Lepisosteus oculatus: one gene and its partners. The protein of the gene in region 3 interacts with the protein of the main gene of each other region in a pairwise test. Links are inferred from orthologs where the notes say so. Each region holds a gene or a part of one and is shown on either strand. Other genes may lie near its edges. The genes, in order: cep290, atp6v1d, bbln and thap11.

Evidence for each region.
Region 1: the proteins of bbln (region 3) and cep290 interact in binary tests that used the Homo sapiens proteins (3 or more experiments, as listed by UniProt). The two-hybrid records come from large-scale screens. The link is inferred for Lepisosteus oculatus from reciprocal best matches to the Homo sapiens genes BBLN and CEP290.
Region 2: the proteins of bbln (region 3) and atp6v1d interact in binary tests that used the Homo sapiens proteins (3 or more experiments, as listed by UniProt). The two-hybrid records come from large-scale screens. The link is inferred for Lepisosteus oculatus from reciprocal best matches to the Homo sapiens genes BBLN and ATP6V1D.
Region 4: the proteins of bbln (region 3) and thap11 interact in a two-hybrid assay, tested with the Homo sapiens proteins (2 studies listed by BioGRID and IntAct). The link is inferred for Lepisosteus oculatus from reciprocal best matches to the Homo sapiens genes BBLN and THAP11.

The regions. Positions count from the first base shown.
Region 1 is NC_090702.1:17,386,125-17,394,097, forward strand, and holds the start of cep290 (centrosomal protein of 290 kDa), read left to right. Parts: upstream 1-4,969; 5' UTR 4,970-5,046; exon of another isoform or gene 5,047-5,053; intron 5,054-5,892; 5' UTR 5,893-5,915; coding exon 5,916-6,017; intron 6,018-7,973. Other genes in the region: protein O-mannosyl-transferase TMTC3, read right to left, coding at 2,986-3,177, 4,558-4,662. UniProt on the Homo sapiens protein: Involved in early and late steps in cilia formation. Its association with CCP110 is required for inhibition of primary cilia formation by CCP110.
Region 2 is NC_090703.1:26,162,421-26,170,190, forward strand, and holds the start of atp6v1d (V-type proton ATPase subunit D), read right to left. Parts: upstream 3,004-7,770; 5' UTR 2,794-3,003; coding exon 2,753-2,793; intron 1-2,752. Other genes in the region: eukaryotic translation initiation factor 2 subunit 1, read left to right, coding at 7,617-7,770. UniProt on the Homo sapiens protein: Subunit of the V1 complex of vacuolar(H+)-ATPase (V-ATPase), a multisubunit enzyme composed of a peripheral complex (V1) that hydrolyzes ATP and a membrane integral complex (V0) that translocates protons.
Region 3 is NC_090719.1:12,772,842-12,780,081, reverse strand, and holds bbln (bublin coiled-coil protein), read right to left. Parts: upstream 2,690-7,240; 5' UTR 2,367-2,689; coding exon 2,297-2,366; intron 1,957-2,296; coding exon 1,766-1,956; 3' UTR 521-1,765; downstream 1-520. UniProt on the Homo sapiens protein: Essential for intermediate filament organization in intestinal cells, interacts with intermediate filament and regulates intestinal lumen morphology.
Region 4 is NC_090715.1:3,956,022-3,963,474, forward strand, and holds the start of thap11 (THAP domain-containing protein 11), read left to right. Parts: upstream 1-4,501; 5' UTR 4,502-4,622; coding exon 4,623-5,453; 3' UTR 5,454-7,453. Other genes in the region: uncharacterized protein cenpt, read right to left, coding at 257-401, 1,145-1,259, 2,588-2,688. UniProt on the Homo sapiens protein: Transcription factor, which has both transcriptional activation and repression activities. Also modulates chromatin accessibility.

The DNA of each region.
Region 1 (7,973 bases), on a different chromosome or scaffold from region 3:
GTAATTTCAGATTCTCTTTTAAAGCACTCAGCTGTAAAATTAGGCTACCCCACAACTAATTAGGCACTTGCTGTTAACATAAACCTTATAATTTCTAAAGGGTTTATGATACTTTAAAAAAAATAAGATTTAACCGGTCTGAACAGACTTAGGCATGAAGGAAAGGGTTAAGAGCATATTGTGGGCAGAGAAATTGCCAACAGAAGTTGTCAGATAAGATTTGCGGAGCTGAAATTGTGCTGGACTTAAAAATAATGTTCAAGGACTAGTGGGGAGTGGATATCTGGAGTTGTAAATAAGCAGTCTTTGTCCTGTGATATCTTTGCTGAATGCCTTATTGCACAAATATGTTAACTACTCCAGTGGAGTGGTATCACTCCTCAGGAAATGCTTTTGTGTACCTGCTTGACTATATAAATGGGAAAGCCCCAGCTTGAACTTTGAATTGACTACTGCTCCTGTGGCTGGTCAATTCCAGTATGCATACATAATCAACCCACTGCGCCTTTCTCACAAATGATCCTAACTGAGTGTGGATTTTCTAGAGGCATAGTCTAAAAAATGTATTTTTACTCAAATATGCATTGTCGTATATAATATGAAATTCTGAGATATGCTTCTTGAACATGTTAAGAGTTTATGTACTGTTTTTGCACATCTAAAATCACTCAAACTCTTAGCGTTATCTCCTAAAAACCAACTTAAATAAATGGTGGCTGCATGCAATGTACAAAAAGCAAGCTTATGCATTTGCATGTGCAAAGCAATGAGCTTACAATAAGAGAAACAGGCTTTACAGTTTCAGTCATGCAACGAAAGTGTCATGGCTCAGTGATGACTGATTGTATGCATCAACACCTTTGGGTTCAGCACAAGACATCACAAAAGACACATGAGCTCAACTCTTAATTTCTCTCATTTTAATTTAGTGCCAAAAGAATGTAGCTTAAAACCCTTCAAGACTTTATATGGCAAAATTGGACATCAAAGAAATCTCTTTGTTTCCTGACTCCCAGAAAACATGTGGCTAGGTACCAAAACCCCAAGCTTGTTCAATATCTGATTTGGATTAGAGAAAAAAAAGATTTTGCAAGATGCACTAAACAGAAATTAATTCAAACCCATTCACATGCAAAAAGAAAATACTAGGCTGAGACACCTTTAATCAAAGTACTAACCTAAAACAGTTTTGTTTACGAAATAACCATTACGGAGCCAGAATTAATCAATTGTGGACATCTTCATCAGTTTTTTAATGAGTTCATTTCAATTTTTTCTTGGTTTTGGACTGCTTTGATCGTTTTAGAATTGTTTTATCTGGGTAAGTCATTCCAGTACTTAAGACTACAGTATATGAAATGCCTCTCTGTAGTATAGGTAGTAAAGCTGTTTACAAGCATTTGTCTATTTTTACCTTCTGTGATATTTTACTGGTCCCTAAGATATAGAACAAACATCTTAACCTCATGTTTACCTGGAGTTACAACCACGGTAAGATAACACATATTGATACAATCAAAGTGGTTTGTACTTTATTCTTCTATTCCTACTGAAACACACAAATTGAATGTTTTTCTTTGAAAAACTGACAGATAAGCTTACATGATAGGGGTTTCAGTAAATGCACTGCATATGTAACAAGGTCTTTAACTGCAGCCCCCAAACACATGCAATAAACTAAAACCTCAACGAGCCAATATATGAGTATGCAAATCTGCAATATAGCATTTTTATGGTTAGGATAAAATAATGTTATCTTAATGTCACAAATCACACCCATATAACCAAGCATACACTCTACTTCAATTTAAACTCTCTTTAAGTAATCTTAAGACCTTCCATGTTTTAGTATATAAATAATGAATCTGCTAAAAGCTGACATGCACATTGACATGGACCCGCATTAAAAGAAGAGCAAACTGTAACTGAATTAAGTACACAAATTAAGTACAGTGATATATTTTTACAGCAAAGAAAGGGACTATTCCATGAAAAATGTGATATGATGAAAAAACTGTTTTCTGTTGACTGAAAATACTGTACATGTATAGTAGTTGGGTTGTTTTATGGGTTGGTTTTCATCATCAAAACAAAAGGCATGCTAATGGAAACTCAAATGGAGACATGGCTAAATTCTGCAGCATCATTACAATCTACATTTAACTTGGACACGCAGGTACCCCAGCTTGTAATTTGCGTTAGCCTGCAGTGTGAAATAACCAGATTGCCAGAACGCACATGTAGGAAGCTTTGTGCTCTTCATTTAATCCCTTCTGAGCGTTGCTTTCATGAGGACAATTCACAATTTGAAGAGTGCGGGTAGGGGGGACAGGTTAAAAAACATTTTAAAAAATGCATTTTAGAATTTAAATTAACATAGCCTAACATATCCTTTTTAGGAATGAAAAGTGAGAGTCTGTTGGTTTGCACATTAAACAAAAAGGTCATAATGTGCCCTTGAAGCTTTGATTATCAAAATAATAACTACAATTTTGAACCAAAACAAAATGCATGTTAATGAATTAAAGAAGTATATTGAATCAATACGTCTTACAACTTTCAAAAATCTGCAAAAGTCAGAGGAATTGAATTTCACTAATCTAAATCTCCAACCCAAATGTACTACAACAGTATTGAAAGAAAGTTTTCAAATACTGTTTTAATATACGTTTTGAAAGCTCAATTGGAAAAGACACTCTTAAATTTAATCTATTCTGTAAGGAAATTAATTTCAGTTTAAATGAAACATAAACCAAACATTTTTGAAGTGCAGAGTGCATATAATGTTTGTAGGTTCAGTTTTATACACTAAGATGTCTCAGAAACCACTATTTTAAGATTTCCATATTTACTTCCACCAAACCAGGGTTTTGGATTTTAGGTTTTGGAGCTTGGTAAAAATCTGAGAAGCACGATCAAAGCAAAACTTACTATAATGGTAAATATGTGAGGGCAAAATTCTTGGAGAACTTATAAGTGACCTACCTCTGACATAGGAGTTCCCCAAAAGTCATTGAGAAAAAGATTTTGGAGTGGAGTTGTGGGCCGCAGGTCCTTGTTATCCAGAATAGCGGAGACATCGTCAAAGACAAATCCGCAGAACAGGCTGTTCCAGTAACAGGCCACAACTACTCCGGCCAACAGTGCAATTTCCTTCCAAGTCATTGCAGCCATCATCTACCAAAAAGTTCATTGGTTACTGCAAAACAACCAATACAACCCAACAGATAAGATTTCAATTCACAACATTCTCTTTCCAATAAAACAAATAATGCATTGACATTATAATAGAATAAAAAAAAGTTAACTGATAGCCACTGGCAGAGATTAAATGCTTTGGAGGGTGTGAACTAGGCCATGGGAGTCTGTGAAGAAAAAACTAAATTGTCAGCACATGGTAGCATGTTATGTCTGCCAACGCCAATTGTATTCTGCTCCTTTCCATACCACCCATAAAACCTGTAGGCTCCAAGAGAGTCTGGCTAACACAAATCCGACACTAAAAGTATTTTTAAATGTTCTCAATGTTTTTGTTTTTCTAACAAAGAGAATATTGTACAGTATCAGCCTAAAAGCTACAGTAGTCCATCAAAGTCTCTCTAAACGAAAACATTAAAACATGTCCAGAATATCCTAGTTTGCGTAATCAATTAATCAGGAACCCTCGTATTTTAACAAAAGGTCGCTGAGTATTCATTATAAGTATTAAATAACTGAGAAAAATCTAAATGACCACATTTTCTGAAATATAGGTTTTGAAATTTTAAAAGTATATAAATATTTATTTTTAAGAAGTCACTAATCTATCAAGGGACCGCGTATTGAATGCCTTGCATTGATTTATTCAATATGTATTCGCAGCGGATGCTTAACAATCGCAAAATTAAAAAAAAAATACTACACAAACTTATATAATTAAACCATTTCTACCTACGAATGACAACCGCCGCTGTATTAGATTATATTTCGTAGTAGGCAAAATGTGTTATATGAGGCCGACGGACTTCTCTAACGTGAATAAAAGCTGTACTTACTGAAGAAATTCTAGGGAAAAACACTAAGCTTTTTTTTCTATTTCTCAAACACTTCAAAAACTCTACGACTACAGCGGCATTCATCACATCCTTACCGCTTTGTCATGCTCGACGCTAAACTATAACGAAACACACTATTTTATTTAACTGTACATAGCATTCCTGTTCAATATGTTACTACAGGTAACATATTTCTTCCTTCATTTCCGGGGCGGAAACGGGGGATTCTTAAAGGAGCGGCCTGAAATTAAAAACGAGGAATGTTTATATTAGAAAGCTTTCTTTAATTTCCTGTATTTCAGTCATTACTTGCTTTTCGACTTGTTAACAGACAGTAAAATAATGCAGTTATAATGCAGGGAAAAATCTTTTATCAGTAAATGTAGTATGAAATTAACGCAATTGTTTTAAGATTTTGAATAATTGTTTTAACTCCCCACAGGAAATTATATCAAATTAATGCAAATAATAAAAGAAATGCTTCCACTGATGTCCCTTACGTTATAACATTAAATATACATACATATAATTCGCGTTGAATTACATTGCAATGCTCCTTATACTGGGTTTCGCATGAGAATCCATGAGAGTCCCAGACCAACCGTCTCCCAAACCATGATTGGCTCATCCTGACGTCACCTGAGCAACGATTGGAAGAATTTGAGTCTACACGTATTTCCCCTCCATAAGCGTCTGGTTCAAAGATATTTCCCTTTTATTTATTTTTTTTCATTTGTGTAAGTTCACCCTGTCGTTTCGTACCCTAAGTAAGATTAGAAATAAAGACAACGTTGTCTGAGAATTTTTCAAGACTCTCCTTCTCTGTTATTTTTCTTTTTCCTCTCTAAGAACTTCAAATCGCTGCTCTGGGGGGACGGTCAGGAATTAATTTAAACTTTACTGCAATTTTTGCGTCTCCCTGCCGTAAAGCGGTGCTGGATTTTCGACTGTTTGAAGTGGTAGCCTAGCAGCAACAGAAAGCATCGCAGCACAACATATTCTGGGAGACATAGTATGAGGTTTAAACTTTAAATTAAAGATGTTTGATTTTGTATTCATGAAAAAGAAGCGAGTGTACTGTATCTTAACACCTGTCGTTAGTAAAGTCGGAAGGCTTGAGTAATAAATTATATTGTTTTTACCTTGCATTGCTTTTGAAAATCATGCAGGTTTTGATAACAATAGTCGTGCTACGGTTTCGTGGTTGCATATGGGAAATTTCTCTTAGTAAAATGATTAATAAATCACAAATTCTAATATGCTTTCCTGTTTTCTGACCCTTTTCAACTTTATGTCTACCACCCACAATACCTTTTAATCTTTATGGGGTTGCTTCTGACTTGGAATGGGTTATGATGATCAGCTTGTTTATTGAGTACATAACGGGAACTAGATACAGTAGATACATCCCTGCTATTGAACCCCTTGAGCAGTGGACTTTTTAGTCTTTTATGTTTAAGTGCATTCTGTTCCTCCTGTTAGGTACTGTTCGTTACTGTTATAAACCGGACTGCTTTTTTATTAAGCGATACATAATTTACAGTACCTATAGTGAAGGCTGCATGACAGGAGTTCATAAAATCATGATGCACAGTATTGGATGTTGCATGGATTAATTATTGTGTGCTGAGAAGATTATAAAAACGATCATTCATATAACCCTCCAAATAGGTTTCCATGTACCTTTTTTTTTTCCTGCAACGTGCAACCACAAATGTCCATTTCATAATAAAACTAGCATTCCTGCTCTTTTGAGATATCTACATACCTTTAGGGGATTCGTTTTTACAAACCTTTAAGCGGTTACTTTTGCTACTGTTGTTTTGATATAGCTTAAAATACAAACATGTTTTCCTAGATTGGAACCACACAGCTTTTAAGATGCCTTTAAAAATTGACTGGGGTGAACTGATGGATGTCGATCCAGATGCCTTAACAGATCAGGAGAGCCTGGCCCAAAAACTTTTGGATTTCATTTCACAGGTATTGTTCTTCTTGTTATATATATATACTCGTGAATTTTGTCACTTTCAAGAGACATTTATTGACTGAAAATAGTACAGGAAGCCACTAACACCACTTTTAAGTTTATCTATACAAGACAATTTAAATTTGAATCTAATTATAGTACTGTATTTAATTTCTAATATTCTAAAATTGCCATCATTAATAAAAGTGTAATATATATACAGTACTGATCATCAAAAGAAATGTATAGATTTATATGCATCTGTGTAAATAAAATATACACCGTTAATGTTAAAATATACAATGTTATTTGCATCTTTTTGATTATTTTTTATTCACATTTGTAATATACTCAAGTGACTTTGACTGTTACATGAGCACTAAATCATCTCAGTTGTAAAAAATATTAAAATAGAAACTGACGGGGCACAGATGATAAGGTAATTTAAATCTGGTGAAATACCAGAAAGGAATAACTTTGCTTGTTTACCAAGACCACAGTGTCTTTGCGCCTCTGGTATATTGTAGGTTGGACTAGGTCACCTTAAGAGGACTGTCCAGCTGTGTAGCCAAGTCCTCTTTAGAAAGATTCAAGGTTACTTTGGACCACCCTGATGGTTGTCAATGAGTGTGGTGCAGATTTGTGAAACGGGTCTATATTTTTTGTGTACAACAGACAAATCAGTGTGGATGTGTTGATATAATGGTCAGGGTAGGAGTTTCAAGTCACTACAGAACTCAAATTGTAGAGGTAGATGGCAGCCTGACCCCACAGCATTACATTAACATCCTGACAGAACAACATTCCAGCAGGATAATGCGTGTCCTTAGGCTGCTCGTGTATGATCTGAATTCTTGCAAAGTCATTGTTGGATGTTTGTACCAAGGCTACCATACTTAACGGACTTAAGCCCTATTCAATATCTGTCTGTTGTGTCAATACAATTAATACAATTTGTTACTGTATATACATTTTGTGTTGCAGTTTCTTATGAAAGGCCCTGCTAAGTGTTTGTAACTTTCATAGTAGAAAACTAGTTGATCGACTCTGTTGATGAAAAAATGTGAAAGAGAATAATAGATTTACCTTTGGCTTGTCAGTTCAATAAAAGGTCTGCATAAAAAGATAATCTTCTTGTGACCTCTGTAAACGTGTTGCAGTTATCAGGGTTAGCTTATTATGATTTCATTTTTAATCACTTAAATGCAAACAGTGAGGAAAAAACAGACTTTATTAATTGCTTGTACATTGAAATTGTTAAATCAGACTATTAGAAACCATTTGTTTCTTTTTTGTGGATTTTATTTTCTTTCCATTAATGTCTAGTCTTTCCATACCCACCACTGGATGTTGGTGTCCCGAAGATTCCCTTGCATGTCCTTTTTTTCCCATTTTCTTTTTCCAGCTTACTTCAGCAAAGCTTTTGACCTATTTTTCCCAGTCATTTCTCTGTCTCTTGGGAACTTTGCCCATTTAATCCCTCACTGCTCTATTCTTCTTGCAGTTCGAATGACTTATTACTATGTTAATGTTTTCACTTTTTAAATAGTGTTCATTGCTCACTGATACATCTATTTCTGTCTTCTCTTGTTTTACCAGTCACAAGTATTTGTGCTGTTTTGGAATTCATAGTTTCTGATTTTTGCTTTTAATAACTGATGGCTTGAAGGCTTTTCCCCTGTGACTAATGGCAACATTTTCTTTCAGTATTGTACTTTTCCTTTTGTAATATACTCCATCTCATCTTGTCTCAGCTTTTCATTTTCCCCTTAAGGTATTTATGTGTGTTGATTTGACGATGATAGACATAGCTGTTGACTTTTAAAGTTCTGTTTAATCAACTTCAATCTTTTTTTCAGCCTCCACACTACTGATTACTATAACTTTAATCATGCCTATGTTAAGTCTGGCTTGTATCTGAAGGTTCCAAAATTTGAAGATGTTGTTGTTTCATGGATGCTGGTGAAGAT
Region 2 (7,770 bases), on a different chromosome or scaffold from region 3:
ACTTACCTTTGGACATGATTTTGAATGTGATTGGTTAACTCTGAACAGCTACAGCACCCACTATAAAATGGTGTGCACACTCATGGAACCAGGGTGTTGTAGGTTTTTTTAATTTCAATTATTTTTCCTAATAATTATCTATTTGTTTTTCTCTTGAATTTTGTTGGTTTCAAGGTCACATTAAATATGGAAAATTCTCTGACATGATTTATCTTGATTTCTGGCTTTACACCACAAAAACCTGTAATTTCAATAAGGGTGCGTAGACTTTTTATATCCACTGTATATGGGTACCTTAGGGTGATTTTTTTAGGGTGACTATAACAACAAAGACCTGTCACTCACTTATTCTGGAAACATACAGCACTGTCAAAAATGACCATGGTTAGATTACTCATGTAGAGGTAGAGTCCCCATGACTCTTTGGCTTAGGACACAATGTGGTGCTGCAGTCTGGACAGTAATGTTCAGGAAATGTGGATTCTGCCTGTTGCATTGAGATTCGCAATGGCCTTTTGTCAAAGTACAGCAGTATTTTTTCTAGGGTATTCTAGTTCACATTACCTAGTAAGTAACTGAAAAACAAAGTAAAATAGAGCATATTTCAACCATGGCCTAGCTCAACACCACACAGGACACAACACATCATCCGTCCTTCGGATGAGATGTAAAACCGAGGTCCTGACTCTCTGTGGTCATTAAAAATCCCAGGGCGTTTCTCGAAAAGAGTAGGGGTGTAACCCCGGCATCCTGGCCAAATTTTCCCATTGGCCTTTACCAATCATGGCCTCCTAATAATCCCCATCTATGAATTGGCTACATTACTCTGCTCTCCTCCCCACTGATACCTGATGTGTGGTGAGCGTTCTGGCGCACTATGGCTGCCGTGGCATCATCGAGGTGGATGCTGCACATTGGTGGTGGTGGAGGGGAGTCCCCATTACCTGTAAAGCACTTTGAGTGGAGTGTCCAGAAAAGCGCTATATAAGTGTAAGCAATTATTATTATTATTATTATTATTATTATTATTAACACTAAAGGCCAAAATCAAATTGGTGCTTAAAAAAGTCCATGTCTATGTAAATGTGGCCTAAGTTGTTTAAAGAAGATATTAAGAAAAAAGGAGCACTCTAGAGAGAGCTCTACAGTGTAAAATACCAAAATTAAAATGGAAAAAGAGCATACTGAGCCACATCTGAAAAATTGTATTACTATTGCTTAGAAGTAGACTTAAAAGAATACTGTACTTCACTAGACACAAATAATTATAGTAGAGCATTTTTTCCTGTACTGCAGCAGTGAAAGAATAATTTATAATAGCTTAAGAAATAACAGTGGATTAATAGAAGATGATAATGAAATAGTAACCATGCTAAATGAATATTTCATGCAAGCTTTTACAGTTAAAGATTTCAATAACACATCCACTGCTAAACAAAACATTAGTTTTAGGGTAATTTTAACATGTCTGAAACTGAGGTTCAACAGGGGTTAAGATTGCTCAAAACCAAAAAATTGACTAGGCCTCACCATATTGAATCCATAGCATCCTGTTTTCTGTTTTAATGTCCTCATCAAGACAATATGGTGAATCAAATAAAAAGAAACCGAATGCTTCAGTATATAGAAGTGTTTAACTTAACTCCAGGGAAGTTATGCTTATGCTTTACAATGTACAAGTAAAAACTCACTTTATAATACTATGTTCAGTTCTGGCCACAATACCAAACAATGATATTGTACATCTATACAAATGTAAAAATAGTTCAATGGAGAAACAATAATTTTTCAAAGGCTCAAGGTTAAATCTTTTCAGTCTAGGACAAAGGAAAATGAGAGGAGAATTATTCAATTTTAGAAGATCCTAATAGGTATAAATAAGGTTTTCTTGTTAGGTTTCTTCTCATCAGCATCCCTCTCTTATGTTTTTATTAAGACTACTAGACACAAAGCGTCTCTGTAACTGTATTACTGGAATGCTTTCATCCAGACTGCCCAGCATTGCTAAATTATCTACAGAAAGTAAAGATTCTGCTGCCTTGGTAGCAAATAAAAGGCCTGCACTATAAAGAGTTAAACTTTTCTAACGACGCAAATGATATGTGTGTTTCTGTGGAAAAAAACATTCATCAACCACTAAGACAAAAAAAAAACCTTTAAAATATCACACACATGCAGACGTTACAGTGCTTGTTCTAAAACCATCCTGAGCTGGGAAAATATTAGTTTTGTATTGACTGAGATAAATTCCAGACATCACACAGAGAGAGCAGAGCTCTGTTGAAAAAATTAGCTGTTCTTTCTCACATGATCTAGGGCCTGTCGCACAATAATCCTTCCTCATTTAGAACAACTTTTTGAGTCACGTTACCCTACACACAGATATACTACCTATACACTCGCTTCACATTTTTGTAAATATGTATTTTTAAATATATGTCAAATTAATGTAACATTACTAAAAACTTCAAAGAATATTAAATATGTCATTGAGGACATATCACACCATAATCATCTATCTTTAAAAACAAAACTTAAAAATATATAAGTAAAGCTTTTTACACACTCGATTCAAAAAAGGCAGTTGCGTCCTGTCAGGAACAATTTGTTCCAACTTTCGGAACAAATTGATTTGACAAATGTACAAATTAAGCTTAATATAACGTCTGGAATGCTTCTGTCGTTGTGCTGTTATATTATTCGTTATGCGTTGCAGAAACGAACTGGATGTTGCAAGAATAATTATACTCACATTCTGGATGGGAAAATTTCGATCCTGTCCTTGCCTGACATGTTGTTGGATGCAAGCGACGCGTCTTTGATTTGCCTAGGTTCAGTATACTTTTATTGCAATAGAATTTATCCTAGGAAAACTGTTCTTTATTAAGACGTCCTTCCTTATAATGATTTCCCTATTCAATAGCTTTCGGGAAAAAGCAAACTGGAAATCTCCCTGGTCAACAGTGTCAGTCAGAGGCGAATCAGCTGGGTAAACGTCATGTGACAGAGGTGGCGAAGGTCAAAGGTAAAACTGGGTACGTCAGAACCAACGACATGTCAGTAAGAACCGAAGGACAGAAGTTGTACCTTTTGAATAGTAGCAAAAATATGAAAGTAAAAAAATATATATGAAAACATTATTTTTATTTAATTTGTTTAATCTTTTTACATAACTTGAATTTATGTAGTAGTATCTACCCCTGACGATCTTTTTGTCTTGAACTGTTATATGTACTTTTGTTTGTATTGTAATTTTTGTTAATCTCTTATGCATAAATAAAAAAAAAACCTTTTGAATAGTATTATTTATTTTAAGTACTTGTCTTGTTTTATTAATTAAATAATTTCTCGAATAATGCCGCAAAAATTGTATTATTAATTTTGCCATGCTTGAAGCTTTTAATGAAACATAAAAACGAAATTTCTAAATTCCTTAGATTTTAAAAAATCGTTTTATGAGGGTTTATGAGCGGTTTTCAAGCTCTGTGTTTTTCGCTCGTTAGCTACAGTTCTCAAACGTAGAAAAGCTCCAGTGGTCTTTCATACTATTGGATGCTAATTTCAATTATTTGCTCGTATAATTCAAAAATATGCTTTTTCTATCGATCATAAATGTGTGAGTAATCGTCTGCATCAGTGTATTCTTTCAACCACTGACAAAAGAAAAACAAATTTTCCTGAGAATTGAAACGGAGAAAAACAAATATATATATATATATTCTATATAACAAATGTGTCTACATCATCGAGACAGTTTTGTTGTATTTTAGGTTTTGGTAACAGATGTACTTTTCTTATTCTCGTGCATAAGAACAGCAACTTTCACCTCCACTAGGTGTCACCGTCACAAAACTTGCGAAGCCGATTCCCTTTTCATAGTTTCCTTTTCCGGGTCAGGGTTTACGTGTTTGTGCGTCCATGCTGAGGAAACTAACTGCGCTTAAGGTTTAGGCCGTTCTCAGCGTTTAACTAGAAAATACATTTTTTTCTGCGTAACTTTGTCGAGAGGAGAAATACTCAAACGTAGGTGAATTATTCAACATTACGGAGTTTGGATCTCTATCAAGAATAAAGGTAGTGTCGCTTTTTAATCCCTTGGTTCAGAAAATGAATGAATTGGGTGGAGGGGGAGAGTAGTCTTGCTACATGTGATGTTACTGTAGAAACTGATACAGATGTGGCTGATAATAAACTAGCTTTTTGGCCAGAGGTTTATTCGGGACAGTCATTCACCATCTAATGTTGTTACGAATCTCAGCGGTCTGGTCACACAACCTGTCTTCGTTAGAGCGTTGTAGTAATTTGCTTTGGGAAAAGTGCCTCAAAATGTTACAAAGATGCAGTTTATGTGCCAGATTTACTCAAGAAGTCATATAAAAAACTAACAGAAGTGCGTAACGATACCATTCTTCTGAGAAGAGTTGCAGAAGTCGCCACATGCCTTCAAAATTCAACTGTATATATACGATATTGTAAAGTGGTCTCAGTGTATTGGGAAATTAAAATGACAGGAACTGAAATTGACCGATTCTTTCACCATTGACTGAAAATTTCAGTTTACGAAAAAGGCAGGAATATGCACAGTCGGTCGTGTTCTGGTGAAGTGATTATCCCAAGTCTCCTTAATTTTTCACGATAGTCTTTCGGGACATGCGATTGAAGCAGTAATGCCCATTATTAAAAAGGTCATCCTAGACTAGTGGTGGCTTTATTCAATACCCCCTCTTATATATTTATATGGCACGCTCTTGTGCCCAAATCATTTGCTCTTCAGACCATTCTTGTATTACCACATGTATTTACCACATGAAAACCTGCCCTATACCACTTCTCATGCGAGATAGTCGTCTTACTCTTTCTGGGAGCTGGCTGATACGCAAAAACAGTTATAAATCGTGTTAAAATTAGTAAAGTTATAAAACACATCAGAAAAAGAAAATATTACATGGTGAGTTTGGCTGTGTGATGTTAGGTTGCTATTATGTGCCAGCAGCCCCATAACAGAACAGAAATTGTGTCATCAAATTAATTAAGTGATAACTTTAGGTAGGCTGAATTGCACAGGCCCAGAAGTGAATTTAGCCAAGCCACCAGAGCCGGTGCCATGGGATTTTAATGACCAAGTAGTTTACACCTAAGTGTAATATCTAATCTAAGGGATACATCTTATACAGCAGAGTGGTCTTGGTCACCATACTGAGGCATCAGTTTTCAAATTCTAATCCACCAACACAACCTGTTTTGTTTGGGAGGTCTCCTATCCTATTACTGATCAGGGCCAACTCTTGATCAGCTTCTGAAATCTCATGAGATCACGCTACAAGATGGTTAGTTAGGAGTCAAGATCTTCACAGTATCTGCAACTGTATTTTATTTATCTTTCTAGATATTAGATCTCATTTTGTGGTTATCTTTCAAGATAGATTTCATTTTGTGGTTAGAGTATTTGTACTTTTTGTTTGGCTGAGTTTTCATCTCCCCTGCAGCTATTTAGCTATTCGTAAAGACATTATCACACGTTTCTGGTATTGGTTGTAAGTGATCTTTTGTTTCAAATTGAATTCTATTTGATGTCCCTGCTGCTTTAATGTGAAACATCACAATGTACAATTAGAGCAACCAAAGCACTTTTGAATGCTTCTATAAGGTCTGCGTATATAGCAATTGAAATCCTTCAGATGTATTGTTTCTGAATAGTTTCTGGAACAATAAGACTTGGACTACTTCACTAAGATTTCATCCAAAACTACTAATAGCTTTATTTTTCTTTTCTTACAGTATACTATAGCAACAGGGTTCATGTAGTATACACATGATTCAGTGCTTTAGAAACTGACTACTATAATCTAAAGAAAATTGATTTTAATTAATTTATTAAATTTCCTTATTTAAATTTGATAATATTTAACACTGTTTTTCATTACAAAGCCAGTCCCATAGAATTACAGTTCTTTTTAGAACACTCAGTTCAATCCTTCACAGGTTTGTGGTATAACAAATATAGAGTGAAGTAAAATGTGTCGCTTTTGCTGCATACTTTTCCAAATTGTATTTCAGATTTAAAGATGAACATAAGGCAGCTTAAACAGAATGCAAGCTTTTATATTGGGATATTTTTGTGCATACATGTTTAAAAAAAATGGTTTTATGGTCAGTCCCTCCTGATTTGTTTTGTCAGCAAAAGTATTGAGACAAATTAACTTTGAGTTAATTACCCCTTACAAGTGATAACTGCTTCAAGTCTGCAACCCAACAACATCACCAGACTTGATATTTTCCTTTGAGATGCTTTGCCAGCTCAGAAGTTTCCACTTCTTCTTCCTGATGAACCCTACTGCCTTGGCTAAGTGTGCAGTATATTTTGGGCCATTGTCTTGTTGCAGGTTGAATTGCCATCCACTGAGTTTTAGAGCATTTTTTGGACATAGACAAGATATTTCCACACACTTCAGAATTCATTCTGCTGTTACCATTAGTTATATCCTTAAGAAAGACCAGTCAGCTAGATCTGGAGGTAGCCTTGTATGCAAAAGCCATGACACTAACTCCAGTATGTTTTACTGATGAGGTGGTGTGCTTAGGATCATGTGCAGTTCCTCTCCTTTTCCCCTCTTTTGTCTTTCCATCACTTTGATAGAGGTTTATGTTCATCTCATCTATCCATGAAACTTTTTTTCCAGAGCTGTTGTGGCTCATCTTTGTACTTCTTTGCAGATTATAACCTGGCCTTTTTGTTCTTAGTGCTGATAAGACTAAAAAAGGCTTAAGAGTTTTGAATCTTGCAGTTTATCTCTTGTAATTCTCCTGTCACAACACAATGAATTGAAATACTTTCACCTCTGCACTCTGGAGATTGTCTGTAATCTCTTTGGCTGTTATTGTAGGGGTTTTCTTTACAGCTCTAATGATTTTTGTATCAATTGTTGTCATCTTCCTTGAAGTACCTGGTATTTGCCAAATGCTTACACCTCTAGTACTTTCTTCCTTTTCAGCACATTCTATAATTGATTTTGTGATGCCCAGTTTCTCTGCAGTGGCTCTAATTGGAATTTTCTTTGCTTTCATTTTCTTACTTGGTTTTTCATCATAGACAACTGTCTAGTCATCATCTTGATTAATGTTTCTAACTCAAGGGGCAGACTGAAAAAGTAAACACCCAAAGACTAGAACCAAGGCTATACATTCACAATTTTTGTGTCTTCACTTGAGCAATTAGAAACATTTGTTCTAATATTTGTGCTCATCTGAAATGGGGGATTTAAACACAACAACTGACATTTTTTTAGTATTGTGTGCAAAAGTGTTCCCAGAAACAAAGACTGGAATTCTGTACTTTACCTTATATTAATCTTTTGATCTGAAATTCATATTTCATTAGTAATTTAAAATCATTCGCATATATGACAAATTTCACTTCACTGTCCCAGTAATTATGCTTTTCACTGTATGGCTGAAATACGTATGCTGTTGAGCAAAGGCTTGCGATTTTGTGCTGACCTACATCAGTGTATAAAGGTACAAGTTATCTAGTTTGAAAGTCTATGCACTAGAGCTGTCTTTCCCTGCCTTTCCTGTGTGTGTGTCATGCCATGGGATGTGCCTTTTCTGTTGCCAGCATGCCGGGGCTCAGCTGTAGATTTTACCAGCACAAGTTCCCGGAAGTGGAGGATGTGGTAATGGTGAACGTACGCTCCATCGCAGAGATGGGTGCCTATGTCAGCCTGCTGGAGTACAACAATATCGAGGGTATGATCCTGCTGAGCGAGCTCT
Region 3 (7,240 bases):
ACGACACAAGCCAAGCTCCCAAAATGCAAAACACTATGCAGTGTGTGCATGTGTCAGTTGAGGGCTGAGAGTAAGATCTTAAGGAAACCCTGTTGAGTTCTTCACATGCTTTCCTTTGCAATTCATTATAAACACAGGGTGTTTGCTTTTTAGGGTGGTGCAGTGGTTGACATTGATGCCTTGCAGTGCTGGGGTCCTGGGTTCAATTCCAGACCTGGGGTGCTGTCTGTGTGGAGTTTGTATGTTCCCCCCAGGTCGATGTGGGTTTCTTCCAGGTGCTCTAGTTTGGTCTCACAGTCCAAAGACATTCTGGTAGGCTTCTGTGAACACTGGCCATGGTGTGAGTGTGTGTTTGTGTCTGTCTGTTCTGCGATGGACTGGCGTCCTCTCCAGGGTGTACCGTGCCACCTGCTTGCTGGGATAGATTGCAGCTCCGAAGAGGATGAAGCAGTTAGAAAACGGATGGAAGCGATATTATCACACCAATAGTTTTGGCCGAAGAGAATACCACTGCTGCCGATGGGATTTTAAAATCTTTATTGGCAAATCTTTCATATGTCCTTTAAAGTCAAACACAGCAACATGCATCAAACGTCTTTTGTACCTTCGTCCTGAATATTTACAATCCGTGGTTACTACAGAATGCAAGTAATTTCAGCAGGTAATAGATACTTCATTGATCCTGTGTGGGAAATTGCAGGATTAATGAAAGTGAAGCAAATTCTGCACTCCACTTGAATTATAAAAAAGTCTCGAGTATTGATGACCCAAAATATATATTGGTTTAATTGCTATACACTCCAATATTATAGTTCAACTGCACGTTATGTTTTATTTACACACTCAAACTACCAGGAAACAGTAACAGGTAACAATGCAGGGTCCCAAAATAAATTAATCATTAATCCGCTGCTCTGAAATACATTTCATTAATACAATAAATGGATAAGTCGAACAAATGTGAAAGTTGCAAGCTAATAATTTATTGAGATGCAACACGGCAGACGCATAGATTCAAAACCTTTAGCAGACAGGAAAGGCTCAAAACAGAAAATGAGAATTTGGCTCAGAATGCTCAGCTCGGAATTAGCAGGAACTAAATTGGTCTCGACAAAATAGTTACGCCACAAGATGACGGTGTGCAGGAGCAGCCATCTACACGCCCGACAGAACACAGAACACAGAGCTCCTCATTTGCAGACTTCCACACGATAGGATCAGATCACTTTATTGGCCATATGCAATTTCTTGTATTAGGAATTTATCTTTTCACAGACCCCAGCTTGCTCTCCATGAGACACACAGACAGGGAGAGAAGCTTGGGGTCAGAGCGCAGGGTCAGCCATTGTACGGCGCCCCTGGAGCAGTGTATTGGGGTTAAGGGCCTTGCTCAGGGGCCCAACAGAGTCGGATTCCTCTGCCGGACGCGGGGCCTCAGCGGCTGTTCACAAACAAACCACAGTCAGAACGTCACTGAAATAAGAAGGAAGGAATCGGCGAGGGTCCAAGAAGCGTACACCTGACAGCTAATCCATTTCATCTCCTGATTACATCACCACCGGTTCTGCGTTTCCTCATTCCTCATTCCTCGATGCTCGCTGCACTGCCCTGCCGCCTGATCTCCAAGCTGGCAAATGACGTAGACTACAAACTGGCAAGTGACCTCAGGATAAAGTGCTTCCCGATAGAGTCCTGAACATATTTTCCCCACCATCCTCCTTGGCCCACCCCAACGCCCCCCAGACGCTTTCCTCCTGGTCGCCCCTCACTGCTCCACGCGGTCCCCATCAGCGGGCTCCCCCGGGGGGGGCGCCACCTGCTCGCGGAACTCCTGCCTGGCCTGCCGGTTGGACTCCAGCAGGTCCTTCAGCTTGGCATTGAGCACGTCGTTGCGCTCCTCCAGGTCATCCAGGCAGGAGTTGATCTGGTCCAGCATGGAGTTAATGGCCGCGTACTCTGGAAGAGATGGCGACAGAAGCACAGTTCTGCACTGCTGGGATACACCCGGGGCTGCTCCCTAACCCTGATCCTGTTGATGCCTAGTAACTGTCCGGACAGAGTCCCTGATTCAACATCAATCTCACGCTAACCCTCGTCAACGACAATTCCGCCGGCAAGCTTAAGAAACAAGATACTATTCAATATGATTATTTAAATAACATGACACAGCAACAGAAGCGTATCGATGAGAAGAATTTTAAGCTACCGGACAGTTGTTGCCCAGCGTAAATCAACAGTGATAACTTGCGGTTATATTTTTCAAATTTGTCTTTTAAAAATCACAAAGTGCATTTACCTTCCTCGCTGAACTCGTCGTCTTCGCCCACTTCGATGGAAACACTTGGATCTCCATTTGGTCCGGACATGATCTTTGTGGATCACAAAAACGGGTTTACCACCTCGAACAGGACAGCTTGTTTTGGCGAGCCTAATTTAGATCACAATACCCTTCACTGAACAGGTCAGATTAGAGTGCAGCGTACATATATAGGACAGCTACAGAATGCAATCAATGCCTTCAGACACAGCGCTAGGTCTATAAACAAGTGAAAAGTACTGCCATACAGCTAGAAACCCAAACTCAGAATATCGCCATTTATCATAACCCGGTTATTTTAAAAAGCAGAACGAATGATCGGCTCAGCTGATGTTCACGAGTAAGGACACTAGGGTGTCCAACGATAACGCCTTAATCGTACATGAGTTAAGTTTTGTAGTGCACAATTCTTTTAAATATAATGAATAAAAAGGAAAAAAAAATATTTAAGTGCATTTACTGAAATAATTGTATGTAACAAAAATCTTCACCGCCATTTTTTAAAAACATTTGTTAAAGGCATCTTGTGAGCTACTTCACACGGGGTCCTTCAGTCAAAGACCCTGCGGGTGTTGTTGTATGTTCGGATAGTAGTTCAGTCTTGCAAGAAAAACAGACTTCTTACAGCGATACCCATATCTGGGTATTATCCAGTTTTAACAAAAGGTTCCTTCATGAAAAACTCGCTCATTCTGCTATTTAGTCTGTGTTGTTTCGCCATGCATTTTCCAGAAGTTTGCCAGCAAGATATTTAAAAAGTGCTTTTGAGATTATGTATGACGAAAGCCGTAAAAACAGTGATTATTAAGCAGTACATTTTGTGGACAAATCTACTGCACATTCATTTTTGTGCAGTGTATGTGTAGCATATTACGTTGCACAAATCTATTTTTTTCTAGGTACATATCAGACAACTTAAAAACCCGATGAACAGGATTAAGATTTTATGAATATTACGAATTGAATATTATGAATTTACTGTACGTGTATACAAAAAAATCCCACATGCATACACAAAAGTCTCATTATAAGACACTTTAGTTTTGTATGGACCTCACGATGTCAATAGCTTTAACAATAGCTTGTGTATTTTTTCTTTTCTATTGTAGACGATACTTTATCCAAAAGCAGGGTTGTAAAATAAAGTTGGATATTAACGCGCCGTTGTTCTCGTAATAAGACTGCGCCACGATAAAAAAAAAAAACAGGTCTTTCACTGAGGTCTTCCAGTACAATACAAACTGAGCCCATCGTGTTCAAATGAGCAGACAAATGTCCGTGCTACACTGTCATGGAATAGCTACTGCATGAAGGATTTAGGTTACATAATGCTGTCGTGGACACACAACTGAGTACGCACAATGCAAATACTGAAAATTATACATACTGCAAAGAACTTGCTGCTGCCTTTAAAAAAAAAACGCAGTTAACTTACAAAAACAACAAGGCCTCCCTGATGCAACACAATGTAAATGAAAAAAATATATATTTTTCGTGCCAGCAGCCTACAGCAGAGCGGTGTCTTATCTACAATGCCTAACGTCTTGTCCAGCGAGGCACCCCAGTTTACGGCTCTTGGGAAAGTGTGTGTGTGTGTGTTGGGGGTGTGCGTCTTTCACAGCCACAATAGTGGAGACGGACACGGTGTGAGCGCTCAGGCTTTAGGAAAGCCGGTGCCTCTGGGCTCTGAAATCGCCGTTTTCCACTCTTCCCCTCGGCGGAGGGGGCTGACGTCAGCCGAGGTGAGATTCCTGGGATTCTTTCGAGACAAAAGGTCTCTCCAGTGCTCCTACAACGGCGACAGACCAGCTTCCCAGCCGTGCGCTGAAGACGTCCCCTGTCCGAAAGTCATACTCCACGGCTGTTTCAAAACTGGGAAATCGGAGAGCCGTAAATAGGACGGACTTCTCGACAGAAGCATTGTGGTGCCCGCTGAAGCTTTAGGAAACCCGCACGGTCCCGGGGTTGTTGTTTTTTTTTTTTTACAGTCTCCTTAGAAGTGTAAGTGAATTGTTTTCTGCTGTTCCGCTAAATACTGGACTACAAAAGCGCCAGTTTGTCATGCAAGTTATCAATTTGATCTCCTTCAAAGCTATCCTTCCCCCTACCTCGATAGGGTTTCTCGGCTGGAGACTACCAAAAGTTTTAACTCCATGCTAATTGTTCCTAATGTCGAGTAAGATGACTGTACAAATGTTGTTTACACAGACGGGCTCGGTATGTCCTGTACTTCGTTTAGGTTCCTATTAAATTCCATTATATATTTGCCTTTCTTTTTCTCTATTGAGATTCATAGAGGATCACCTGATCGCTGCCGATATAATGATAATGGCATAGTAGTGACTTGTTTTTCTTTTTAGCCTGACACGAACTTAAGCGCCAGGTAAATGTTGAGCGGCTATGAGGCAATTTACTGTAGCTAATAACTGTAAAGAAGCTTGCATGTGATTGTAAATAAAATAAAATGGTCCGACACCTGTTTTTTTGGGGGGGGATAACGGTAGAGTTTCTAATTGGTATCGAATCGGCTACTACTAATTGAGACGACGTGAAACTGTATATATTTTGAAAAGTTAAAAAAAAATCGGGGCCCCCAATGAAGTTGCTCTGGGTTCAGGTACATTTCCTACACAATCAGCCCGTGTAGTGCGGCTTTCTGACATGCCACAAAATCGGGCAGCCTCAGCACCGAGGAAATATCGACCTCAGCTGCAGAACACCGAGCAACTTTCATCCCCACCCCCAACACCGGCTCTGGCGGCGATTATGGCTTGTGCATGCCGCAGGGTCTGACGTGGACGCTCACGCCGTAGTCGTATATTTTCACTCTTGAGGGGAGAGGCAGTTGCAACTGACGCGGCGATGCGCCTCTTGGTTTTTTGCGCAGGCCGGAGCCCGCGGCGCGTCCGTCCCCGCCAGGCGAGGCGGCGATGTCTGCGAGAGAAGGGCCGAAGGCGGCGGAAAGCCCGGAGCTCATGGAGGCTCTGGAGGGTCGCCTCCGGGAGCAGGTGGACCGGCTGGAGCACCTGCGGCTCTCCGCCACCGAGCTGAAGGAAAACATGGCGGCGGTACGACACTTGTCCGCTCCGGGGTTTGAACCCAAACGCCTTCATCACCTGCGGTCAGCCTCAACCCTAATTTTTTCCTAGCCCTAATTCTTGACCTAACCTTGGTCTAAACCTTCCAGACTAGAGGGTAAAGGCAGCCAGCGCCCTGAAAAAGTGGATGTTTCTGGGAGAGTATTTAAATAAGTGGACCTGCAAACTCCCACACACATTCAAGATCAGAACACGTAACAGTAGGGATGGGTGGCCCAGGTCCTGCAGGTTTTAATTCCAGCATGGGTCTTAATGAGCTAAACCGCTGAATGGCTGGCCTCATTGGACCAATTGAACATCTTCTCCCAGTTAGGTGCTGTGCCTCTAAAGGTCACCTTGACAACTTGCCCTCTGGGACCAGGTCTGAACTCCCCCTGCTGGTTCCTGGACAGCACCTGACTCCTTCCTCAGTCTCCAACCTTGGGATCACTAGACTGTGGGGTTACGAGTCAACAATGCACTAAAGCATATTGGGGTCTTTCTTTTTGGAACTTTTTCAGTCTCTGGGGGGGCCAAGCTTTTCCTGCTCAGCAGGAGAAGGTGGCTTCTGGGTAAAAAAAAACAGCTCTCTGCAGTTAATGAAAGAAAACATCCTTTTTAGTATGCGGAGGTCCATGATCTCTCATTGGTTTTAGCCAAGGACATCTTGGGTGGAATGCGGGTGGTGACCCACAGTTCTAGTTTTCATAGCAGCTGGTCTCTTTGAATCGAGTCTTTAATTGAGCCAATTGATCTCCCCAAGTGGACCCTTTTCCAGTTCCTCAAAACCCAGGAGGTTTCAAAGAAACAACAGAACACTGTAAGTTTAGGACCTGTAATTGACTGAAAAGGCCTGAGTAATGACATAACTATGTCAGTTAAGGGATCAGCTATATAACTGGGTTCTCTGGAATACATACCAGGGAATCAGATTGGATCCCAGTGACATAACTGGAACTGCATGTAAAGACTGCAGGAATTGTGGACACTGGATACTCCTAGCATTGATCCCTAGGTATCCGAATGTCTATTATCTCTTTTCCATAGTAAGAAGTTTGCCAGTGATTAAACTTCATTATGAAACTGGTGGTGTTACTTGTTATTTGTTCAATTCCAGCAAAACAACATCGACCTGAAGATGTCCATCGCTGACCATCTGGATTGGCTGGCCCGACTTAGCGAGCGAATGGAGACTCTGCAGATGAGCACAGCTGTGTTTGTACAGGTGAGAAGGCAGATCAAAAGTGGCAGATTCAAAGGGGCATTTCTGAGAAGACTGTGACTGCTTCCCTTAAATTGAGAAACGTTCGATACCGTGCCTCATGACATACATGTGATCTGGCGTGTGTCCTTGCAGTGGGATCCATAATTCTATTCCCCAGACCACATCTGCATGAGCCATTATACATAGTTTGTTGTGTTTTAAAATTTGACAGATTTATCCATTCAAAACCATTGTAAGAATTGTAGGTACAAAGTCCAATAAATCCTACCCAATGCATTGCTTTTAAATTGGGATTTAATAAGATATTTTTGTTTTTGGCATCCCACCCAGTGTGTACCCATTAAGCTGCTATAAAGTGAATGAGCTCAGTTTTAGTCTTTCTGCAGGCATCTATTGAAAGAAAGTATGTCCACTAGGCTGGCAGGCTTAAATTAGGACGTCTTTGTCCTGCTGAGGAGCACCTCTTTCTGTCGTAATCGTACTCAAGAGATTGTCCTTTTTATTCCCAGATGAACACCAAGCCTCGCACCTGGGGCAGCACGCAGGGTTCCAAGCGCTATGGACGCAGGCCCAGGCCACCGTTCGGCGACGATGCCCAGTCTGAGTTTGGCTGGTCTCCCG
Region 4 (7,453 bases), on a different chromosome or scaffold from region 3:
AGGTTTCCTTCTTTATTGCTCCCACAGCGCAAGAGATCAAGCCCAATTCACATGTAATATTGCAAAGCTTTGATATGAAACTACAAATATTACAACTGCCCTGCAAAACACATAGTTTATTTTATCAGAAAATATACTGAAAACACCGCCACTGGAGAATTTGCCATAAACGGAGGTTTAACTGGTATTCAGTGTGCAGCTTATTTCTTCTCTTTGGAAGCAGGTGGGTAGCTCTGGTGTGGGTGACGGGATGTACCAGTTTGAATGATCTTCCTGAGCAAAACTCTGGGTGTTATATCACCCAGAGAGTCATGGCCTGGCAGCATCACAGGGCTGAGCTCATGGGTGTGCACAGCCGGCGGTCTCTTTCTGTGGGACTGGGTAGATCCTTTAGTAACATTCTGGAAAAACAGAAAGGAATTAATTTGACAACAACTAGTGTAAAACACTGTGGATGGGATTTTGAGGTTGCAATGATTAAGCTATCACTTCGGCTACTAATATCTGAATATTCACACCTGTAATAAATTAGTCAATTTAAATTGTATTACTTCAAATAAATAGGTTAGACACCTATGAAGTCTACTACAGCTACTCAATTATTTGCCTGACACTGTTATCCAAAGTGACTTACATAAGCACCATTAATACAGCTGGCTATGTTACTGGAACGATTTGGGTGAATATGTGCTTGGCTGAGGAGCCAGTGTGTGAAGAAACCATCCATGGGAATTATGACAGAACCCCTCTAAAGCAGAATCCCCCCAACAGCAGCGTCTCACGTGGGATTTAAACCCACAACCTTCCTGCTTAGAGCCCAGAATCTTGACCACTACACCACACTGATGGCCTAGTGATGGCCTCAAGTCATGCTGGACTCCAAAACAGGGAGGTTTGGGTGTGTATCCCTAATACAAGACTACTGCGGCACCCCTGAGCAAGGTACAGTGCTCTGATTGCCCTGCCGAGTAGGATCGCTCTCCTCTTCCTGTAAACACCTCCTCTTCTGAGAACACTGTAAATGCCTCATCTGGTTAAATCAAGGACCAGGACCGGTGTGAACACAATTTTGATTCACTATGAAACACCCGCTGGACAGCAAACCTTCTCGTTCTGAACAGTGCTGCACAGTTTTAACCGTCACCTCGTGGAGGCTTCTCCTGAGCTTGTTTCGCAGAGCCAAGCGTGGGGTGGAGCCACCAGCGTCGCTCTTCCGCAGTCTGGCACTCCTCCTGGTCCCGAAGGACAGGGGATCGGCACTGAAAACAGGATAGAAAAGACAACCCTTTAAAAAGCGCTTGACCACTCTGGGCGTTTGACTGGAGAAGGACACTGCAGGGCCCTGGGGAAGCATTCCCCTGCACTGCTGGGCTTCCCCTGGGTGGATTATGGCCACCCCGGTGTCCTGGCCAAATTTCCAATAGGCCCTTATCAATCATGGCCTCCTAATAATCCCCCTCTATGAATTGGCTACATTACTCTGCTCTCCTCCCCACTGATAGCTGATGTGTGGTGAGCGTTCTGGCGCACTATGGCTGCTGTCGCATCATCAAGGTGGGGCTGCACATTGGTGGTGGTGGAGGGGAGTCCCCATTACCTGTAAAGCGCTTTGAGTGGAGTTTCCAGAAAAGAGCTATATAAGTGTAAGCAATTATTATTATTATTATTATTATTATTATTATCTCATGCAATAAATGCTGAGGCTCAATTAATGAGGGAGACATCGCTGCAGGTTTAAAACACTACTTTCCTGTCTTGGGAACCGTACAGAGGCAACAGTGGTGCAGTGGTTAGTGTTTCTGCCTCACAGCACTGGGGCCCTGGGTTCAGTTCCTGGGGTGCTGTCTGTGTGTAGTTTGCATGCTCCTGTTTCCTCCCACAGTCCAGAGACAGACTGGTAGGTTAATTGGCTTCTGGGAAAACCGGACCTAGCGCGAGTGTGCCTGATTTGGTGTCTGTGCGTGCCCTGCAACGGACGGGCGTCCTCTCCAGGCTGTACCCCGCCTTGTGCCCGCTGCTGGCCAGGATCGGCTCCAGCTCCCCTGTGACCCTGAACTGGTAGGAGAGGTTAGGAAATGGATGGATGGAACAGCACAGAGGACAGATCCTCAAGTCACAGCAAACCGGTACCACTGGCCACCTCATCTAAAGAGTACTGAGCTGGGAACTTTGTTTAAAAAAAAATAAAACTGACCTGACATCATATGCTCATGGTGGCGGCGCTGAATCTGTATTTCACGTTTACCAGCGGCCAGATCACCCTGCAACTCACAACTGGTAACCCACTGAAGGTCAGCAGGTGTGAGCCTGGTCAATACCTGGATAAGCGTCCTGGCCAAATTTCTCCCTGGCCTTAATCACAGCCTCCCAATAATCCCCATCTCTGAGCTGGCTTCATCACTCTGCTCTCCTCCCCATTGATAGCTGATGTGTGGTGAGCAAATTGGTGCACTGTGGCTGCCATCACATCACCCAGGTGGGGCTGCACACTGGTGGTGGTGGAGGGGTCCCCATTACCTGTAAAGTGCTTTGAGTGGAGTGTCCAGAAAAGCGCTATAGAAGCGTAAGCAATTATTATTATTATTACCTGCTTGTGGCCTGGGAGAGGACAGGAGACCGGGTGGGCTCTGTGCGCAGGACCTTCTTCAGCAGCGTCCGAGTGGTGAGGTCAGCCTCCGGGGTATCCATGGCGAGCCTGCCTGAGGGAAGCAAAAACGCACAGATACCTTCAGAAACAACACCAGACGGACAGCAAGGAAGAAAAACTCGAGCAGACAAAAGCAAGCAAGTCGCTTAGTGGGAAAAAAAGCAAGAACGTGTTGTACTACAACGATAATACAAAATATTACACACTGTAAGTTAACAATAACCTTCTATTCGTTTTTTTTATTGGCATCTAAAGCAATATGGCACAATAATAGAGCTATACAACGTCCGGTACGTTTAAATATTCATACATTTCTTCATGCACAAAGCCGGAAGATTTGTAAGTAGATATTCATGATTTCTTATAAAAAACTATTTAATGGATGACATAAAACTAATCGTTTGAAATGAGCACAGGATACTGTATTCAAAATACTGTAAAATACTCACCTTATTTTTAAATACTGCGCAGCTCCCGATTTAAAAACAGCAGATTTTACGGTGCGCGTCAACCATTTGATATATCTTTACATTCGTTACAATTTGAAATATATTACGCCTATTATATATGTGCATTAATTCGTTCGTCAGCTAAAAGTTTATTTTGAATTCTGTTGCAGCTCGCATTTGTACTCCCGCCGGTTTATTCAAATCTACCCCCGCGATAGCTCGCCAGCGGAAGTTAGCCATCGCCCCACGCTCGATGAAAAGCATGGTGGGAATTGTAGTTTTGGGCAGCAATGCCGAGATAGATTCTGCATGATGTATCATCATGATGTATCATGCCTATCAGCAATTCCTCATAAACATTCAGGAATGTTTTTCATTTTACAGTTCAAACCAGAATTAATAAAAAATGTAAACTATATATCCATTGGTCTTTGTCATTTCATGATATTCTGGGGGACTAACGATTTTTAGGTTCAAAATTCAGTCCGTGAAGTTGAATTGTTTCTGTTTTCCTTCTTTTAACTTATTAGGGGATCCGTGTAAACAGTTTAAAAAAACTTCATTCTAGTGTATGACAAGAGTAGTGTAATAAAAATGTTCTGTGCTTAATTAGACCATTTACAGCGACAGTTAAACTGCACCAGCTGGAATTCTTACTATGATACAAATCTAGGAACAGATTTCACGTTCCCCTCGTAGGAGAGAAGGCTGTCTTTAGCATTTTAATAACCATAAAAGCTCGTCTTTTTTATCAAACCGCATAATATTGTTACCTGATCAATTGTTATAAATGCTTATTAGCTCCATAAACAAGTATTTTTCAGTGAGAAAGTTTCGGCGAAACAGAATGTTCCACCACCTCGCTTTTTAACAACGCAGTTAAAAGTGTTCGATTTCATTGATTTATCTCAAAATACTTCAGTATTTTCAATGGTGTTTCCACGATCCTGGCTGCTGACTTTCAACATCGAGAAAACCTGATTTCATCCTGAGACTTTTACTGCAACAGGCGGCCTGTCAAGCGTGATTAGGTTAATTCGGTTGGATACCCCTGCCTGTAATTTCACTTCAATATAATGACAGCTTGACAACTTTATAGCTCTTCGTCCATTTTTAAACAATTTTTTTTACATCTTTAATTGCTTTGTCCTTTCAACCTGTCAAGTGCATTTTGAAGGGAATAAACGAGAGAGCGCACGCGTTTTCTCGAGAGCTTCGCATTAGTTTATGTTATCATTACTTAAAACAGAGCTTCTTTTAACGAACGGTGAATTTATGTTTTTTCAATAACGACGAAAAAAACCCCAAAAAGCGTCCGCCCCCACTCCAAAAAAAAAAAAACCACTTCTTTCAATCGCCAAGTGCTCTCGGCAGCAAAACAGGAAGTAGTTAGCATTGTGGGATCTGTAGTTCCGCTCTGGAGCTGCTGGGCTCGATAACAGCGCGCGGAGGAGCAAAACAAAACTAAAATCCGAGAAAAAACTTTGGGAGGATTACACAAATATTGGCTAGGCTTCCAAATAAGCATGCCTGGATTCACCTGCTGCGTCCCCGGCTGCTACAACAACTCGCACCGGGATCGGGAGCTGAGATTCTACACCTTCCCCAAGGATCCCGTGCAGAGAGAGATTTGGCTGAAGAACATCTCCCGGGCCGGGGTGAGCGGCTGCTTCAGCACCTTCCAGCCCACCACCGGCCACCGGGTGTGCAGCATCCACTTCCCCGGCGGCAGGAAGACCTACAGCATTCGGGTGCCGACCCTGTTCCCGCTGCGGGGCGTCAACGAGAGGAAGACCCGGAGAGGCAGGAACAAGAAGGTGTCCGCCGCCGCGTACCCCGCTGTCGTCGCCGCGGTCGCTGCCAACGTCGATGCGACCTCCGCGTCCTGCGCCCTGGGCGCCTTCGCCTCCGAGGAAGTCAGCAGCTGCAGCGCCGAGAGCGCCGGCGAGGCGGGGCGGCGGGAGCCGCTGTCGCTGGAGGTGAAGCCCATTGACCTGACCGTGCAAGCCGACGGGTCGTGCGTCGCCGTGGTCGCGGCCAGCTCCTTAGCCCAGACGGGCTGCGACCACCCGCTGCCTGCCGCCGCTCCAGCCGCCCACCAGCTGTCCAAGGGAGAGCTCGCCACCCTCGGGGCGACCGACCACTCGTACTCGCTGTCGTCCGGCACCACGTCCGCGGAGCTGCTGAAGAAACTGAACGAGCAGAGGGACATCATAGCGCTGATGGAGGTCAAAATGAAGGAGATGAAGTCCACGATCCGACAGCTGAAAATCACCGAGGCGAAACTCCGGGAAGAAGTGAGAGACAGGGACAGGATGCTCTCCATGGCGGTGATACGAAAGAAACACGGCATGTAAAACGCCTGCATCGAGACTGAAGGAGAGAAAGAAACCAAAACGACGAACACGCGTTGAAATAACAAACGGAACACAAACTTTTATGGGAAAACAAAAAAACATACCTTCTTTTATAAGGGATCCCCCAAAAATGAAAAAAAAAAAAAGTTGAGTGAACCTTTTTGTACAAAAAAATTTTCATAGCTGAAAAATACTTTACATTTTTTTTCTTTTTAAAAAAGTTCTTTGCTAATGTTAAATAGGTGTAACGCGTTTGAAGGACAGTAGTAAGCATGAGCGCAGCAGATCACCTGACTCCATCGAAACAGCCGATCGCTTCGTTTACACGCTTCTAGGTTAGACGCTTTATCTCATCGTAATCCGGAGAAACAAGAGGCTCTTTAATAAGACGCGAACTGAAAAGCTTACGAGTTTTCTCAAGGCAGATAAGCGAACTGGGAGACACGCAGAGAGATTCGGGGGTGCGGTAAAGCACGCATAATCACACAGGAGGGAGCCGTGCTTGCGCCGAAATATCGACTCGTTCTGTGTTTTTTTTTGTCTGTTAACATTTTGCTGTCTTTCACAAGACGTGGAGCATTAATTAAATGATGTGCCTAGCGTGTAGCCGAGTCCAGTCGTTCTTAGACCACGGATTGGCCTAATAGTTTGAGTGGTGATGGGTGGTACTCATGTCGAGAGGCTAGTTGTGTAGCCATCATATACATTTCAAAGTTTTATTCCTTTCTCAAGAAGTGGTTTAGTAGCCTTCGCAATTGCACTAATGCGTGACTGATAAGATGTGGTCTAAATGCGGCTTTTGGTGAGAATGTTTTCACTTTTTATACAAAGGTAAATTAATCCCCCCCGTGTCTTTCAAACGGCACGATTTTAATGTCCCCCAAAAAACGTTGTATACGCATGGGTGGTGAAGATCCACAATCCAGCAAGTGTTTGAGGTCATCCTTTAATCACCAATGTGTAAATACTAGACGTGAGTTGTTCTGATCAATGTAGTCAATCCATCAGTTCATTTAAATCAGGACTGGACAGCCTTGATCCTTGAGAGTTACAAGATATTTTTAATTTCAAATGACCTGTGACCTACTTCATCTGACAGACCCCCCGCTTAAATGGTCAGAACAAAATTGTTCCAAACATTTAGGAACCACAGGTTGAAGGGTGACCCATAAACCCTGTTGCACTGTGGCTCTGCAGAACCAGGGGCCCGGCTACCCCTGATAAAATAACTGCTAACAAAAAGTAAGCTCGGTTCATTTTTGAATGCGTAAAGTTTAGTTTCATTACAAGGACTGATTGTTCTCCCATTTACAGTAGGTATATGTAATAACAAAGTCAAGTACCACTGCTAAAATCCTGAACTGCTCTCTTGTCTTGAGTGCTAATAGTTCTGTTGCTCAGTTACAAACCTCATCCAACTGTTTTTAAGAGTAGGAGCTATAGTCTGTGATCTTATTTTCCTGTAGTTTGGTAATCACAGTTTGTGGGGGGGAAACCCTTGTGTGTTGAACCATTGTAGGACTTTGGTAGTGAAAGGAGCAGGTGGGCAATAATAAAATCTGTAAGGTTTAGCTGTCATCTACAAGAAAGATGAGTTTGGTCAACAAAAGTGTCTATTTTACACTTCCTCAAAATGTTACGCACTGTGTACTTTGGTAACGCTGCCCTCCTGAGTGTGTGTGCGTTGTAGAGATTTGTGTTAAAAAAACAGTCGTGATCTGTGATAGGCTTCCAGAATTAGAAGCGTCTTTGCATTGTTGCAAATCGAACTGAGCTACAATTCGCAAGCCGAATCCGGGCAGGAGTTCGGATGAATCTGTACTGTTCGAAGACACTGTTTGTGGAGGGGATGGGGTAGGAGGTGCAGATTGGAAAGAATCCCTTCCCGGTTTGGATAGGGATAACCGAAAGTACTGGAAACGGCATTTGGGGTGTGTACCTATATTGTCACCCCTGCAGCAGAGCAAGCGTTGCTTTTTGAAAACGTGCTCTTGACGTGA